Diceros bicornis minor: one gene and its partner. The protein of the gene in region 1 binds, or shares a complex with, the protein of each later gene. Links are inferred from orthologs where the notes say so. Each region holds a gene or a part of one and is shown in the gene's direction. Other genes may lie near its edges.

Region 1 (7,810 bases):
CAAAGGCAGGTGATTTTAATACATTTCTGCAAGTGAAAGCAAGAGGCTCTGGAGGAAGGCAGCTTCTCTCAGAGCTCTGTCAGCTCTGGGGCCAGATCTGATGGGCAGCCTGGAAGAGGGAAGAGTCACAGAGGTGCAGCCTGCAGGAAGGGGCACTGAGACCCCAGGGGTGACTTACAATCTGACTGTACGATGTCCCCATTCCAGTTACAATGCACAGTCCTGGGGCCACCCACGTGGCGTAGCTGTTAAGTTTGCAGGCTCTGCTGCAGCAGCTCGGGGTCCACAGGTTTGGATCCTGGGCGTGGACCGACGCACTGCTTGTCAGGCCATGCTGTGGCGGCGTCCCATATAAAATAGTGGAAGATGGGCATAGATGTTAGCCCAGGGCCCATCTTCCTCGGTAAAAAGAGGAGGATTGGCAATAGATGTTAGCTCAGGGCTAATCTTTCTCACCAAAAAAAAAAAAAAAGAAACAAAAACAAAAACAAAACAATGCACAGCCCTTGTTAAAATGTGCCCAGCACTGCTTTAGGGTGAATGATGAAAATCTGAATCCTATAATATTTAAAAGACCACTCTGATTCAGTCCTTTTCCAGAATAGCTGTCATGGCCCATTTTATTATTTTTTAAAGGAATAAAAGGACACATGATGTTTTCCCTGGGGGCCAGTTAAAACAGCAGTCAAAAGTTAATTATACCAGATATGTAATTAAAGTCACATTACTTAGAATCTAATTGTTGCCTGGGTAGCCCCTTACATCATCATCATCGTCACCATAATTTGAGCCCCCCCAATGGCAAGGAGTCTGTCCCCTCGCTGATACCACAGAGGATCCCAGGACTGGGTCACCAGAGGGGCCGATGGGTCTTGGTTAAGACAACCTCTCCTGTTCCCCATAACCACTTCCAGCCACTCTTTGTCTGGTCTCATCTTTGCCTCATCCTCCCCTCTCCAGAGCACTTTCACTAGGAAAGGCCCAATAAAGCTTTTCCTAAAAATAACGTGACCTGTTTCCACTTTTAGCAACAGAAAGCACCAGTAGCACGTTGGGTTTTGTCCATTAGTTTTCAGCCTCCCCAGATGAATTCTAAGGCAAGGGCTATGGTCAGCATAGCTATTCTCCCTCCCTCCTTCTGCCAGCAGTCTCTCAATTCAGGTGGGACAGCGGAGACTCTGATCTCCGCTATGTGGAGCAGACCTCAGGGGTCACAGCTGAACCCCCCATTCTATAGTGACTTCCCGAGTACTAGTTCCCCAGGGAGCTCATGCTTCTGGAGGGCAGAGTCTGCGCTTTATATATTCTGTACCCTCTGACACTCAGTACCAGGTAGGTACTCATCATATAGTTCCTGCTTATTGAAATAGATTTCAGAAGACCCCGTAGGGACACAGGGCCTATGTGTGTCCACTGCTGTCCAGTGCCCTGGGCCTTGCTCCCCGGGAGAACTGGGGCTGGCTGGAGGGCAGGATGCATGTCCTGGAATAACCTAGAACGACAAAGAACAGGTTAGAGCAGGTACCAGCTGAGGGCGGAGTTGAACCCTTCCACCCACATCTACTCCCCATCTAGTGTCGCCAGGGCTGTTTCCCAATTCACGCAAGGGGTCAAGTTTGGAACATCACTAAGGTCGTGCCCCAGGGAAGGCTTGAAGTGCCTAGGACAGTGTGGGGCAGAGGGAGTGGCACAAGTGGACCTGGTGGGCCTGGCTCTGATCTCAGCTCACCCAGGCTACAGGTTTTACCTCTCGGGGCAATTCTCCACTGAAACACAGAGCCAGGAATGTCTACCCAATGGGGTGCCACTGATGTGGAAGATCTCTGCTCCATCCATAGTGAGTGCAGGAGGGAAGAGCGGAGTGGATGGCTAAGGAAGGTGTCCCTCCCCTGGCTTTCCTGGCAGAGGTCACTTTTCCTGCCTAGGAGGCCCTACCCTAACCCAGCAGGCAACCAAGCCCTTGCACTAGGCATTGTCACTCAGCTGGCAGGCTGCCTCAGGCTGAAGATTATCCAGGGCCCTGGCTTGGTGGTACCATGTCATCCAGGTCAGGGAGCCCCGGACCAGGCCAGACAGCCTCTGAGATAGCCTGTGCAGTTGTGTCCAGAGGCAGGCCTGGCTGAAAACAGAGAGGGGATATCTCCCCTTCCACGGCCCAGCTGGAAGCCTTGGGTTGAACTTCTCGGGGTAGGCATGGAGGAGGTAGGAAGGACACCTGGTGAACTGTCTCTACCTGCTCTTCCTCTGGCACCAGCACCTCTTTGGGAGACTCACAATTGAACCTCTACCCTTCCTCCCATACACAATGCCGTGTGCACACACACACACACACACACACACACATGCACGGTGGGCACGTGATCCTCCAAAGCCCAGCCAATCCCTCCCAGTGAATGTGAAAGAGGGAGGGAAGGGGCAGCCCCTTCTATGGCCTGGATTGTAAAGATGTGTTTGAGGCCAGGCCCCAGCTCCAAGGAGGCATCTGGGAGGACAAGGCTAGCCCCCAGAGGCCAAGACTCTTGGAGCCACTGAGAGCGACAGGCCAGGTTCCCCGGTTCCTAGAGCTGACCTTCTTTAGGTTCTGTGAGCATACCCAGCCTTCTAAATCTTTTGTGCTTAAGCTAGTGAAAGTTCTGTTTTTGAAGGAGCCCGGGATGAAAACCAATTGCTTCTGCAGGAAGCAGGAGGGCCAACTTTGCCCCTTACCTGCCTGCTGGCACCACCAGCTGCCTAAGGGGCGTGGTGCACCAGTTGAGGGCAAATCCTAGCTGCCATATTGGGCAGACTACTTCCTTATCTTTAAAATGGGGATAATAAAATACCCGTTTCAAGAGGTTGTTGTAAGGATTACATGAGTTAATAATCTAGTAAACCCTAAATAAGCCTCAGGTGAAGACATGAGGCAGCCTCATGAAATGGAGCTAGAAATGGCTTTATATATCCACAACGGTGAGCTGTGGGCCACTGTGCGGTGCAGCCCATCCTGTAGACAGTGTTCCCAGTGAATAAGATGAGTACTCAAGCCATTCCAGTCCTTCCTTCACCTGCCGCCTTGCTTCAAGGCCTTATTTTCTCTTGCCAGGTCTCCTGCAATAGCTCATGCAATACTTATCCAGCAGATGTATTATGTCCACCTGTTATGTGCCAGGATGGGGGGAGGGGGAGTAGAAGGAGGGAGAACACAGCAGAGGAGGGCCCGGGGAGCTGAGCTTAGGGAAATGGTAGGGGGGCGGGGGGAGCACAGGGCTCCAGTAAAGTCACAGAGGGGCACCTGCACCTCCCAGTCTCTGGGGCCTCTCTGACAAGTGGTGTCTAAGCTTGGGAAAACTCAAGTTAGCCAGGTGAAGAAGGAGGAAATCATTCCCAAACAGAAGGGATACCATGAGTTGTGTGTTCTTCACTGGTCTTCCTGACTCTACTCTCCTCACTGCCTGGCTCCCACTGCCTCAGAGTCAGAGCCTCTTTTAGAAAGAAAACTTGATATTGGTACTCCACTGTTTAAAACCTTTCAATGGGGCTTCTGGAAATAAGATTCTAACTTCTTGGTCCACGAAGTGAACCTCATCTTTCAGATGGCCCACTCCTCCAGGAGCCCTGCCCGACCTGCCGCCCAGCCCGCCCCCTCCCCCGCCCAGCGCCTATTACCAACCACACTGGGACACAAATGGACGTGAGAAGAATTCGTACTCAACAAGCTAGAAATACAACAATTTGAAACAGATTTTTAGAGTAAGTACTTTACCAATGTGGAAGAGATGAAACAGGAATAAAAACCATTAAGACAAAGGCAGGAAAGGCCCACCCACTCCTCTGCGAGCTCGGCCGAGGCACCCGGGGGGTTGGCGGCTGTTGGCACGTCTGGCCGCCCCGGCTCCCGGCCCCTACCCTGCCGGCTGTGGGGCAGCCCGGTCCTCCGCAACCTCGGCACTGCGCTGGGCACACAGAAGACGCCCCATCCGCCGAGGCGGTTAATTCCGGCCTGGCCGCTCCTCCAGGCCAGGCCGCACAGGGATCCTCCGAGCCCCACGCCCAGTGTCAACGCACCACCAACTGAATGGAGGCAGGAACGCCGCACAGAACCCCCGGGGCCGCGGCGCGCAGGCTCCGGTACAGACGGGAGACCCGCTCCCGGCCGTCACTCGCCAATCAGCGAGGGCCGCGAGATCCGCGCCCGCCCCCGGCCGCGCCCTCTGCCAATCAGCGAGGTCCGAGCAGCCTGCTTCCCAGCCCAGCCGCAGCCGGCGCACGGCGCTGTTCGCGCGTCAAGTTCCAAATAAAGTTCTTCGGAGCTTTGAATTTTTTTTTTAAAGCGCCAGCTGCAGCAGCGGCCGCTGCGGGCGAGAGCGGCCGAGTCCCCGCCCCGCCACTTCCGGTCCTGCCGCCCGGAGCCGGTGCGGCTGTGAGGGGCCGCGTCTTGCCGCTGCCGGCCGGCCGGGCATGGTGTTGGGCGCCGGGTCCGCCTCGCCTGTCTCGGGGTGCCCAGGTGAGGAGCGCGCGGCCCTGCGCGGGCGAGGGGCTCCCGCGGCGCCGGTGCACCGGGCGGGTGGAGGGCGGGCGGCGCCGAGGCCGCCTCAGGCCGTGCCGCCCCTCAGGACCGGGCGCCGGGGGCCCGCGGGCGGGTGCCGCGGGGCGCAGGCGGGGGGCGCGGGGTCGGGCGGCGGGAATGGGAAGGGCCGGGTCGGGCGCTGCAGGGCGCTGGGACAGCCCCCCCTCCCCCGCCCCCCCCGACCGTGATGCCGGGTACACACGGCCTCACGCCGCCGTCGCGGGGAGCTGCTGGCCGCATTGTCCAGAGGAAACGGAGCGCGAGTGCTGGGCCAAGGTCACCAGCCCGACGGGGCCGGAGGAAGCGGGGCTCGGACGCGGGCGGTCCGACTCGGGACTGCCTCGGGGATCAGGCTAGGCCGAGAGGGCGAGGTGGGGGGACACTCCCGCCTAGCCGGCGTGCTCGCAGCTTCCCCACGATGGGGGTTGGGGGTGGGCACGGCTAGTTTGAAGGGTTTTGCTGGCCGGGAGACGGGGAGGGCATCTTGGAAAGATCAGTACAGCCGAGTCTTGGATTCTAGACCTGGCTCTGCGGGTGTGTAATCTTGGGTGTGGCCCTCTTCTCCCTGGGGCTCAGTTTCCTCATCTGTCACATGAGGGGATTGGGCCCGCCCCCTTCTGCATTCCCTCCAGCGCTGGAGTGGGGTCAGGATGGATCGGAGGGGCCTGAGAAGGCTTCTTGGAGGGGATGTTGGAAATCTGGGTCGGAATCTGTTACCCTAGGGAAGGAGCGGGATTAGGTGGCGAAGGGAACGAGGGCATTTCAGACCTGGCTATCACATTGAGCAGAAGCTTCCAGAAATGAGCAGGGAGTTGTTGAGGAACAGGGAGGATGCTCGCCTGCCTTGTGCAGAGGATTCCCTGCTGGGTAAGCGGATGAAGGCAGGGGAGAGGGTAGCAGTGGGAGAGATGTTCAGAGACAAATCATCACCAGGCTAGGAGGTCTGAGGCTTGAGGACCTCTGCCAGGACATACCTGCCATTCAGGTAGTGTGCAGAAGGGGGCAGGTTTACTGCTGAAAATAAGAGTTGGGCTCCAAAGGTCGGTCAGCCAACCAGGGTGACTCCAGGTGGGAGGTTCCAGGGCCCCAGCATTCTGAAGGAGGAGGGTAGGGTGTGGACTTTTTTGTGTCCTGATTTGGGCCTCTTTGGCTGGAGAAGTTGGTTGTCCCCTAGTGTCCTGCAGTTCCATCTTTTACATTGAGATTGGGACTTTTCCACTGCAGGAAGAATTGTAAATGAGAAGTTCCCCACCACGTGAGCTGACTGGCCCGTGATGTCCATGCACAGGTGACATGGCCTGATTTTGCCGCTACAGGTGGGAATGTTGTGTAAATATTACTTGGTATGATGAGACTAGTAAATAGCACATAAGAATCTTCTTTGAACAGTCTGAAAGCAAGACCCACCCAGAAGAGGAACTTAACCAGGCCAATTACAACTTGTGGAATTTACAGACTGAGCATGCTGTTCAGTATAGCTGGTGCGTTACCAAAAATGCTGCCATAGTCAGAGTGTCATTTGCAGTAAAGGGGAAGTTTAGTTTTAAAATAGCTCTTTAAGGAATGAAGCATATTGAAGAAGGTAAAGAGAATTCCGAAGCAACTGCAGGTGTTCAGCTAACCTCTAGACTCTTTGAATAATTGTTTTTATTCAGATCTCTTTTATAGTGTTAATTTAACAGCTATGAACATTCCCAAATTTGTCCTTTGGTTTATCCCTAAAATGTCATGTCATAATGGTAAAGATGATGGAGAAGTAGATGGTCATTACATACATAGATTTTTTAGAATGTTAGGAAAGTGAGTTTTGTCTTATCTTCTATGGAAAACAAAACACCAGTGTTTTCTTTTGTATCTTGCCTAGTCAATTAATAAGGGCCACAGACTTGTTGAAGATCACAAGCCAGGAGTCTGTCTTTAAGTAGAATTGATTGAGTATGGAGCATACTCTGCCCACGGAGAAGAATTCATTGTGGGGTAGGGGTATAAAAGAATTAAAGGGGCTGGCCCGGTGGTGCAAGTGGTTAAGTGCGCGTGCTCGGCTGCGGCGGCCCGGGTTCGCTGGGTTCAGATCCCAAGGGTGCACCGATGCGGCGGCCCGGGGTTCGCTGGTTCGGATCCCCGGGGCGCACCGACGCACTGCTTGGCAAGCCATGCTGTGGTGGCTTCCCATATAAAGTGGAGGAAGATGGGCACGGATGTTAGCCCAGGGCCAGTCTTCCTCAGCAAAAACAGAGAGGATTGGCAAATGTTAGCACAGGGCTGATCTCCTCACAAAAAAAAAAAAAACAAAGAATTAAGCCGAGTCCTCAGACTGCAGTGACACAGAAGAGTGCCTTGGTATGAGCCTTTATTTGTGCGAGTGAGTCTTGCCAGGACCCTCTGAGTGGCTCCTTCGGTGCAGGTCCTCAGGGAGCTGGGTGTGGACTTGGCATGTGCCCTAGCACTTGCTTTCCCATGGGGCTCTTTATTATGACTTTCCTAGGGTACTGCCTGCTGAACTCTCTTTATGGACACTGTTCTTTTATTTTATTTTTTGGCATATTTGTATTGCTAAGGTTGGCTAGAGGATAAAAACCAAGTGGATTTGTGTGGTGCATCCAGCCAACTCCCAAGTGATGGATGCATATCTTGGCCCATCTTCAGGCGCCCCTGACGATGTGGTAGGACCGATGCTCAAGTCTGGGTGTGTGGCAGTGGACTTGGTTGGGAAGGCAAACACTGCTTTGTGATCCAGATCTGCTTAAGGGATTCCTGACAAGATCATTCCAGGTGGGGGCTGAGCAAGAGAGCCTGCTCTAGATGGTCCTGCTGTCTCTGGTAGCTTGTGGGCTGGAGCCCCCACGGGTGTTCCTGACTCTACGCCCACCTCCAGCACCTCCTTGTGAGGTTACTTTGTAAACTGAACCAATAGCTGCCTGCCCTGGGTAAAGCTGAGAAGATGTGCGTGCCTTGGTTATGGTCCATGCTTCTGTGTAGGTCCATCTGAGGAGACGGCATGGTAGAGGGGGAGTGAAGAAAGTAGTGTTGGTTTGTTTTCACATTTGTCAACTCTATTGAGGTATAATTGAAGTACACTAAACAGCACGTATTTAAAGTATGCAGTTTGATCAGTCTTGATGTATGTATGTATCCCTGAAACCAGCACCACACTCAAGATACGAATGTTCCATCCTCTCCAGGAGGGAAATTAGTGTTTCTGTCATGACCACTTCTAGCAGGTGAGTGGCCTCAGACAACCCAGTTCCTGGGCTCCTGTTGTCT
Region 2 (7,758 bases), on another chromosome or scaffold:
TACCCCCTACTTTCTGGCATACATCCATATCCTATACGGTATCATCCTTACCCAAATCAAATAACCTTCAAGCTAAACTGTGCCCCACACATCTCTGTCCTCTAGCCTTCCTCGCCTCCATACACACACACACCACGGACTTGTTTCCTGTCCTGGCTTCAGTTTTTGGTTACTAGAATCCAAAAAGGGAAGTGTAATGCCACACATTGTTTTGCAGATCTCAGGATATGCTTGTGCGGCGTACTTAATCATACCACAGCTATTCTCTGAAACAGCATCTTTTTACATAGAAAGTGACAATATGGTGTGTCAGAGATAGAGGGCAGGGAGGAGAGGGTAGATGGTATTTTTATTTTACTTAAAGGAAAAGAAATTAGGGGAGGCCCTGTAATATGGGAAATCTTCAGAACACAAGGAAAAACAGAAAATATTGGTGTCTGAAAGACTTCTAAACTATCCCAAACAAGATCATATGAGGCAAGTACACTCATTCTAAATATACCAGCACTGGAGCACTCAAAAGATTATACTTGTCAGGGGAACTCCAATCAGGCTATTGTAACCAAGAGATATACAGCTATCTTTGGAAACCAAGTTTTGGTTCCTCAATTCAAAATAAATGGAAGTATCTGTTTCCTTATCAGCATATAAGAAAAGATAAAGACAAGGTAAGGGTCAATCAGAGGTGGTGGGAACCAGTTACCAGAAGTAGGAGGTGGTGTTAGAGGGTGAGGGTGAGGGTGTGTGTGTGTGTGCGCGCGCGCACGCGTGTGCGATGGAAACAGATGAAAACTAGGTCAACGCTAATGATCAACTCCAGTCATTCATTCATAACTACCCAGGATTTCAACCCCTCATGGGAACTAGGGAAGTTAGAGAACACAAAACACTTACATTTAAATTAACATTTAAATCCTTCCTTTGTGATAATTTCCTAAGGAACTGCATTAAGAAACTGACAAAAAGGGCTGTAGTTATAACACTAGATACAGCTGCTTTCTAGCACCTGACCCTTGATCGAACCATCTGATAAATAACCTCATTCTGCCCAGGGGTTCCTGCCTTCACAACAGTTTTCAAGTACCCTCCAACTATTGAATAACTATCAAATAAGCAACTTTTCTCATCTGCAGAGGCACTGGAGCTCCTTACTAGACATAGTTCCTTGAGAGCAGGAGCAGATTGTTCACCTTTATGCATCTGGAATGATTAGCACCCCCAGAACCTTCAAGTTCCTCCAGTCCAGCACTGACTGAAGAATGTTCTTCAATGATGGAAATATTCTATATCTGTGCTGTCCAACAGGGTAGCCACTGGCCACATGTAGCTATTGGGCACTTGAAATATGCTAAGTGCATCTGAGGAACCGCATTTTAAGTTTTTATTTTATTTAAATTTAAACAACTACATGAACAGCACAGCTCTAGACCAAGAATTGCAAATCAAATGCCCACAGGGGTCAGGCAGGTAGTGGAAGGGAGAGGCCTTTGGCAAACTTGAGCACTGAGCCACAAACAGAGGGGGAAGCAGCTCATTGGCTCCAGTTCACTGTTGCTGTGTAGGAACCTCAGGCTGGTGTTGCCAGATTGTCTCATTTCCAAATGAAGCTGAAAATCTGGATTTTGATGTCCAATTTTTAAATGTTGGCAAGTAAATTTAAAAAATAATTTAAATCACTTTGTGGGCCGAACAATATGTTTGCAGGCAATATCTATTTTGCCAGTTGGCAATCTCTAATCTAGGCCAACTCCTTCAGCTCAAAGAAAAAGGCCTTATCCAAGGCCACTCTGCTGGTCAGTAGCAGATCCAAGATTGAAACTCAGGCCTTCTGACTCTTCTTCTGATGCCCTTTCTAGATTTTATGAGATTGACCATATGTCGATTGTGGTGGCAGTGGCAGTAGCAGCAGGGACAAAAGCCCCTTTGTCAGAAGCTGTGGAAGTCCATGGCTGATATCTTATGAACACAGTGTTCCTACCTAGCTACAACCACATGCTGGGCCCTATAGGCAAGGCTCTGTACCAGGAGCCAGTAGGACACAAAGAAGAAATAGTCCATGGGGGAGCCAGACATACAAACAATTAACAAGCAAAGTCAGACTTGCTATAATGGACACAAACCACCTGCACACAAGTCCAAAAGCATTGACAACCGGGAGAGAGAGGGAGGGAAGGGACTTGAGCCAGATTTTAGAGGATAGTAGAAACTGGCTAGTGGAGGGATGAGTCTCACTAATTATGAGGGTGGGTCTCATTATTACAGGATATTAAGGGGGCCTCCTTTTATCTTTGAGGCCTTGTCTGTACAAGTCTCTTTTGCTGGTTTCTCCTTCTCTGGGTAATCTGTAAATTTAAAGAGCCCCAAGGAGTTTAGGGGCCTTTCTCTTTATCTACACCGTCTTCTTAGGTGATCTAGGAATAAACCTCTACATTTATTACCTCTATGACTTTTCCCGACTCGTATATCGAACTTCTCGACAACTTCACCTGGATGGTTAATAGACTTATCAAATCTAATATGTTCAAAAGAGAACTTATGATACTCCCTTCTAAACTGTTTTCCCTTAGGAGTCATCATTGGTTGCTCCCTCTCCCATACACTTCACATCCAATTCGGCAGCAGGTCCTGTAAGCTCTACTTCCAAAATACATTCTGAATTTAATTCTCTCCATTTCCAATGAGACGGCAACACTACCATCACCTCTCCCTTGGCCAGTCACTGCAACAGCCTCCTAACAGGTTTGACTACTTCTAGCCCTCTCTATCCAGCAACCAAGAGTGATTTTTTAAAAAATGTAAACCAGGGCAGGTCACTCCCCTTCTTAAAACCCTCTGGTAACATAAGAGCCAAACCCTTACCTTGGGCTGGATCAGGCCCTGCCACTTCATTACTGACCACTCTGACCCTTGTTCTTTCTGCTCCAAGCCACCTGGCCTTCGCGCCGTTCCCTTCCTCAGAAGCCTTTCCGTTGGCTTTTTTCTCCACTTAGAAAGCTCATTCCTCTACTTCCCTCTTTTTCTCAGATCTCCGCAAAACCTGGCCTCCTCCGAACAGCCTTACCCGATTTAGAGTGGCCCTCCCCCCAGCTTCTACGACTTCTACGACTTGGGGGCATTTCTCACTGTCTGATATCTTCCTTATTGATTTACTTTTTAACTTTCTCCTGGACTCGAATAAAAAGTCATGGCACAACGCCTCCTTTCGTGGACCAAAGGAATTAAGAAGCTGGTTCTCAATGTCCTAAAAAGTCTCCGTAACCTGTACAGATCTCATTTGGGTCAACCTTCCCCAGCTAGACGCCTCCTGCCCCCGGCATTGCCCCTATTAATCTCCCATTTACATTCCGGGATCCAAAGGATTCAGAAAAGTCTCAGATGGACCCCAAACAGGCATCTCGGCGTCCCCAAACCAGGCCTCCCCTTCCTGGCCCTCGGGCCGCTTCCCTTGGTAGGTTCCCGAGGCCAAAGGCGATGACACCCAGCCGCCCTCGAGAGGCTGGGGTCACACAGGCGCGTCTCCTAGCAACGTCGCACTCCCCCCACCCCCATCCCTGCCCTTGGGGAGCCAACCCCTTCCCCCAGTCTCCCGCGCCAGGAGTCAGCGTCTCCATCCCCTACACTCACTCTGCGTCAGTCCTGCCTTCCCCACCCACAGAAGCGCCGCAGCCCCCAGCGGGCTGGGAGGAGGCGGCGCCCGGAGCCCAGCTGAGCCGCAGTCCACGGAGTTCGGGCAAGGTCCGGTAGGCCAGGCCGGACCAAACCACCGGGCTGACCTCTGTGGGAGCATTAGTCCTCGGTCGGGGGTCTCGAGCCTCCCTCAAACTTAACTCTCGCCCACCCTCCGCCGTATACCCAACAATGTAGCCAACTTCATCCTCTATTTTCCCTTTACCCCTTTCGCTATCCTTCCCCCCCATTCAAGCCAAAAAAATGGTCTAGTCCAGCTCCTCCTAGCCTTCCCGCCGGGTCGCTAGGTCTTTGCCCTTACTTGGCGACGGCTTCGTACGTGTTTTCGTACGTCGTGACGCAATCTTCCACCCGTTCCCTCCCCGCCCCTTTCTATTCTCCCTCCTGGAGCGGGCGGCCTGCGGGGTTACCGGAAGTGATGATGCAGGAGGCGATGGAGGGGGCGGGGCTTCGAGGCGGCCGCCGCCGGTGGGCCGCAGATGAAGAGGAGGAGGCGGCAGTGGTGGAAGAAGAGGCGGAGGCGGCGGGGGTAGGGAGCCTGGAAACGCGAGCGGGGATGGTAGGTGGTTTGGACCCGCCGGGCCGCCGTCGTTTCCAGAAAGGGTTTGACTGGAGGAACCTCTGGAGCAGCTGTGAGTTTGGGGAGGGGGTTGGTGGTTGAGAAAAGGGGACGCATTGAGAGATGAAGGGGCGGGGGTTGGGTACCTTCGAGAAGGGGGGGGTGGAAAGGGAGGAGTGGAAATCAGCTCCTTGTCTGGACTGGTCCCTCTGGAAGAAGAGGCTGTGAGGGGAGCCTGTGGCGTGTCAGCCGCGGGGCTCAGAAAACTTACCTACTGTCCTTGCCACCCCACTGCCAGCACCCCTCAACCCAGGGCCTTGGGATCTGGGGGCCGGAGCTACCCTGGAGGGGTGCAGACTCTGGTCCTATGCCCCGGGTGAGCGCTGTGAGGTAGGAGCCCAAGCGAGAGGTGGTGGGTGAATCTCCAGCTCCCTCCGCCCTCATTTCCCTCCCCACCCCCATCCTTCTCTAATCATTAACAGCCCCGGAATTAAGGGGCTCAGACCTGAAGGCCTTTCTATGCACCTTTGCTATAAACGATAACCATCTGTGCCTGAGGTAATGGGGCTGGAGGCCTTGCTTGTGTCCTGTATAGGAAGTGGGACGGGGTGACAAATGTAATTGTTTTCCATTCCGTCTCACCCCTCATCCTCCCTCATGCACACCCCTCCTTTCCACTTTAGTTTTCTGTGGCTAGGTGGTAATCGTGGTGTTTTGTCTTTTTTTTTTTTCTTTTCTTTTCTTTATGGCACTTGGTTTTGGTTACCTCTTTTGAATTTGGTGTTCAGCCTCTATCCCAGATCTTAACTGCAAGCTTTGTAATACTTCAGTTACAGGCTGTGTTACACTGGGAGTACTTCTCAATATCTGGTAGCTCCCGATTGAAATGAGCATTTTCTCCTATGAATACTGGAATTCCAAAGCCCTTGCAAGGATTCCTAAATGGCATCATAGCCCAGGAATCAAGGTCTCTTGCTCTAAATACTTTGTGTGTGAGGAATTTGTATGTTGTCAACTCTTTTCCAAAATGATTTGATGTTAAGCTAATTCTGGATTTCTGTGTTTCTCTCCATCCACACTTCATGATGCACTTCAGAGAACAGTAAACCCAATATTACTTTTTTGTATTTACAATTGGACAATAGCTCTTTTATCTTTTTCTCCTTTTGTGTGTCTGGCACACAAGTCTTCAGTGACACATTCGGCTTGTGCTGATTTCCATCTTATTTATTGAGCTGATTCTTTGTATAGGTGGTCTTAAATGAGACAATGTGATCTGTTTAGTTTAGTTTTAAAGAAAAATACAAACCAGTAACGGATGTGAAAAAATTATTTGAAGAAAGCAAAGAATGATTGGAAGGAGGTCTCTTGGTTGATGTTCTGTTGGTTTAAAACACCAAGTAGCGCTCCTTTAGCCTGTCATAAGGATTTCAGAGTGAAGTGTAATGATTCTTATTTTCATGTTGATATTTTCTTTGGAAATCCTCTGCTGAACCTGGAACTGTTTTCTCTGAAGGACTTTAAGAGCTAGGGCCTAAATTTCAGGGATCCTTTGATTAGAAAGTATCCATAAATCCTATCCCTCTGTAGCTGAGTTTACATGTATATTGCTAGAAGAATTATCATAACGGATGCCATCCTACTCAGCAGGGCTTTCAGACCTGATAAAACAGAATACTTAATGCTTTGATTGTACAAGTAACAGCATGTGTAGATATTTCACAGAAATGCAACAAAAGAAAAGAATGACTGCTGTTCACACTTTAATTGATTTGGAACCATTGAATAAAAAGTCTAAAATTCATTCATTCAACGAGCATTTATTAACTGGCTGCTAAGTGCTAGGCACTGTTTCTGCCACTTGGGTGTAAAAAGGTGAACACAAGCATAAGGTGCATGCTCTCATGGAGCTTATAGGGGAGTGGGAGATGGGGACAGATAATAAATAAGCAAATAAATCAGGTTTTGCTAAGTGCTGAAGAAAATAAGAATGATGTGATAGAAAGTGTCTGACTAGGATTCAGTCAAGGAAGACCTTTCTGAGGAGGTGACACTTAAGCTGAGCCTTATGTAAAAAGCTTACATGAGCTTAAATAAAAAGGAGGCAGCCATGCAAAGATAGAGCAGGAGCCTTCCAGCTTCTGGGACTAGCTAGTGCAGAAACTAGCTGGAGTTAGTTTGGCAAGTTCTGGGGAGTGGGAAGAAAGGGGTGGGGTAAAAGGAGGTGGAGAGGTGGGGGAGGACTGGGAATGGGAGGCAGTCATAGCCAGAGCCTAGTGAGCAAAGGGGAGAGTGAAAAGAGTCTAGTCAGAGAAGTCGAGGCGGGCTCAGAATAGGTAGGCAAAATAAGAGCGAGAAAGAAAAAGAAAATGATCCTCCTTTTTGATTATTTCTGTTGCCTTTCCTACAGTCTTATCACTTACTATTTTGCAGGTACTGTTGGACTATTGTAATAAAAAAAAAAAATCACCCTGCTGAGAGTGGGAGAGAAGGCAGCTGTGGTCACCTGGGGCTTTTCTGGCAGATAAACCTCAAGCTGTGTGTTCAGAATTCAGTGGAATGTTCAATTGAGGGCACACCTTTTTCCTTACAGTATTTTGTTTCATATGCTCGTATTTAAAATTGCATAATAAATACCCCAAATGTATTCTGGTACGAGTCCTCCTTTGCTTCCAGCTGTGTGTGAATTTAGAGTTGAAGGTTGGGCAAGTGATAATAATATGCCCCTGTTGGTCTACAAAGATGACCATCAGGATCTAAGTTTGAAGTTGTTTTTTGTAGGGAGGCAGGATTTATGTTGCAATATTTCCACTCTTGTCTGGTCTGCCTGATGACTAATAACACTCAGCTGAGGTGTAGTTTGGTGCTAAAAGTTCACTTAGTGGATTACATTAGATAAATGACCATTGTGGGACCAATCCCAGTATGTCGGCATCTTTGGGCTGACATGTAACCAAGGGATGTAACCTACTTTTGCCTTCTGCTGGGGCCATTCATCTCCAATAGTCAGCTGCTTTTCAGCCTCACCTTGACCAGATTGTCCACTTGAGAGGCCCAATCAAGACTCCTCCTTGATTTGGCCCTCTTGAGCCATGTCACAGTGGGCTCAGAAACAGAAAGAATTTGCTGTTTTCTTCTTTTGAACCCCACAACAGTGACTAGTGTGTTCTTTGAGTGAATTGGCCCTTTGAGCAAGGCGGTAGAGAGACTTAAATGTTGCTTAGGCTATTTGTAGTAAAGTCAGTATTAGAAATGCTAAATGAAACCTTTTAGTGTTTGGGAAAAATGAATCAGAAATTGAGGGCTTGTCACCTGTTTTAGGTTCTAGTACTTTAGTAGCATAGGTAGTTGGATTGTCAGAACTAACTTGAATAGAGCTTCCTAGGCAGTCCTGGGGGCAATAAAGGGGATGGAGTAGAGCCTGGTACTGAATTCTGACTTGAATGCAAATAGAAAGTCTTTTAGTTAGCAAGCAAGTGACTAAAATGGACAGTTAGGACCAGGCAGACAAT

Evidence for each region.
Region 2: the proteins of UBE2F (region 1) and DCUN1D3 are in contact, whole or in part, in a crystal structure (PDB 4GBA), measured with the Homo sapiens proteins. The link is inferred for Diceros bicornis minor from reciprocal best matches to the Homo sapiens genes UBE2F and DCUN1D3. Residues at the interface, in NP_001265234.1 of Homo sapiens: Leu2, Thr3, Leu4, Lys7, Leu8; in NP_775746.1 of Homo sapiens: Glu108, Glu109, Glu112, Pro122, Thr123, Glu124, Met139, Cys140, Glu194, Ile204, Ala207, Leu208.

What each region holds. Positions count from the first base shown.
Region 1 is NC_080776.1:25,402,038-25,409,847, forward strand, and holds the start of UBE2F (NEDD8-conjugating enzyme UBE2F), read left to right. Parts: upstream 1-4,377; 5' UTR 4,378-4,483; intron 4,484-7,810. UniProt on the Homo sapiens protein: Accepts the ubiquitin-like protein NEDD8 from the UBA3-NAE1 E1 complex and catalyzes its covalent attachment to other proteins. Together with the E3 ubiquitin ligase RNF7/RBX2, specifically neddylates cullin-5 (CUL5).
Region 2 is NC_080765.1:29,849,341-29,857,098, reverse strand, and holds the start of DCUN1D3 (DCN1-like protein 3), read left to right. Parts: upstream 1-4,224; 5' UTR 4,225-4,246; exon of another isoform or gene 4,247-4,319; intron 4,320-4,517; exon of another isoform or gene 4,518-4,604; intron 4,605-7,758. UniProt on the Homo sapiens protein: Contributes to the neddylation of all cullins by transferring NEDD8 from N-terminally acetylated NEDD8-conjugating E2s enzyme to different cullin C-terminal domain-RBX complexes and may play a role in the cell cycle progression by regulating the SCF ubiquitin E3 ligase complex, after UV damage.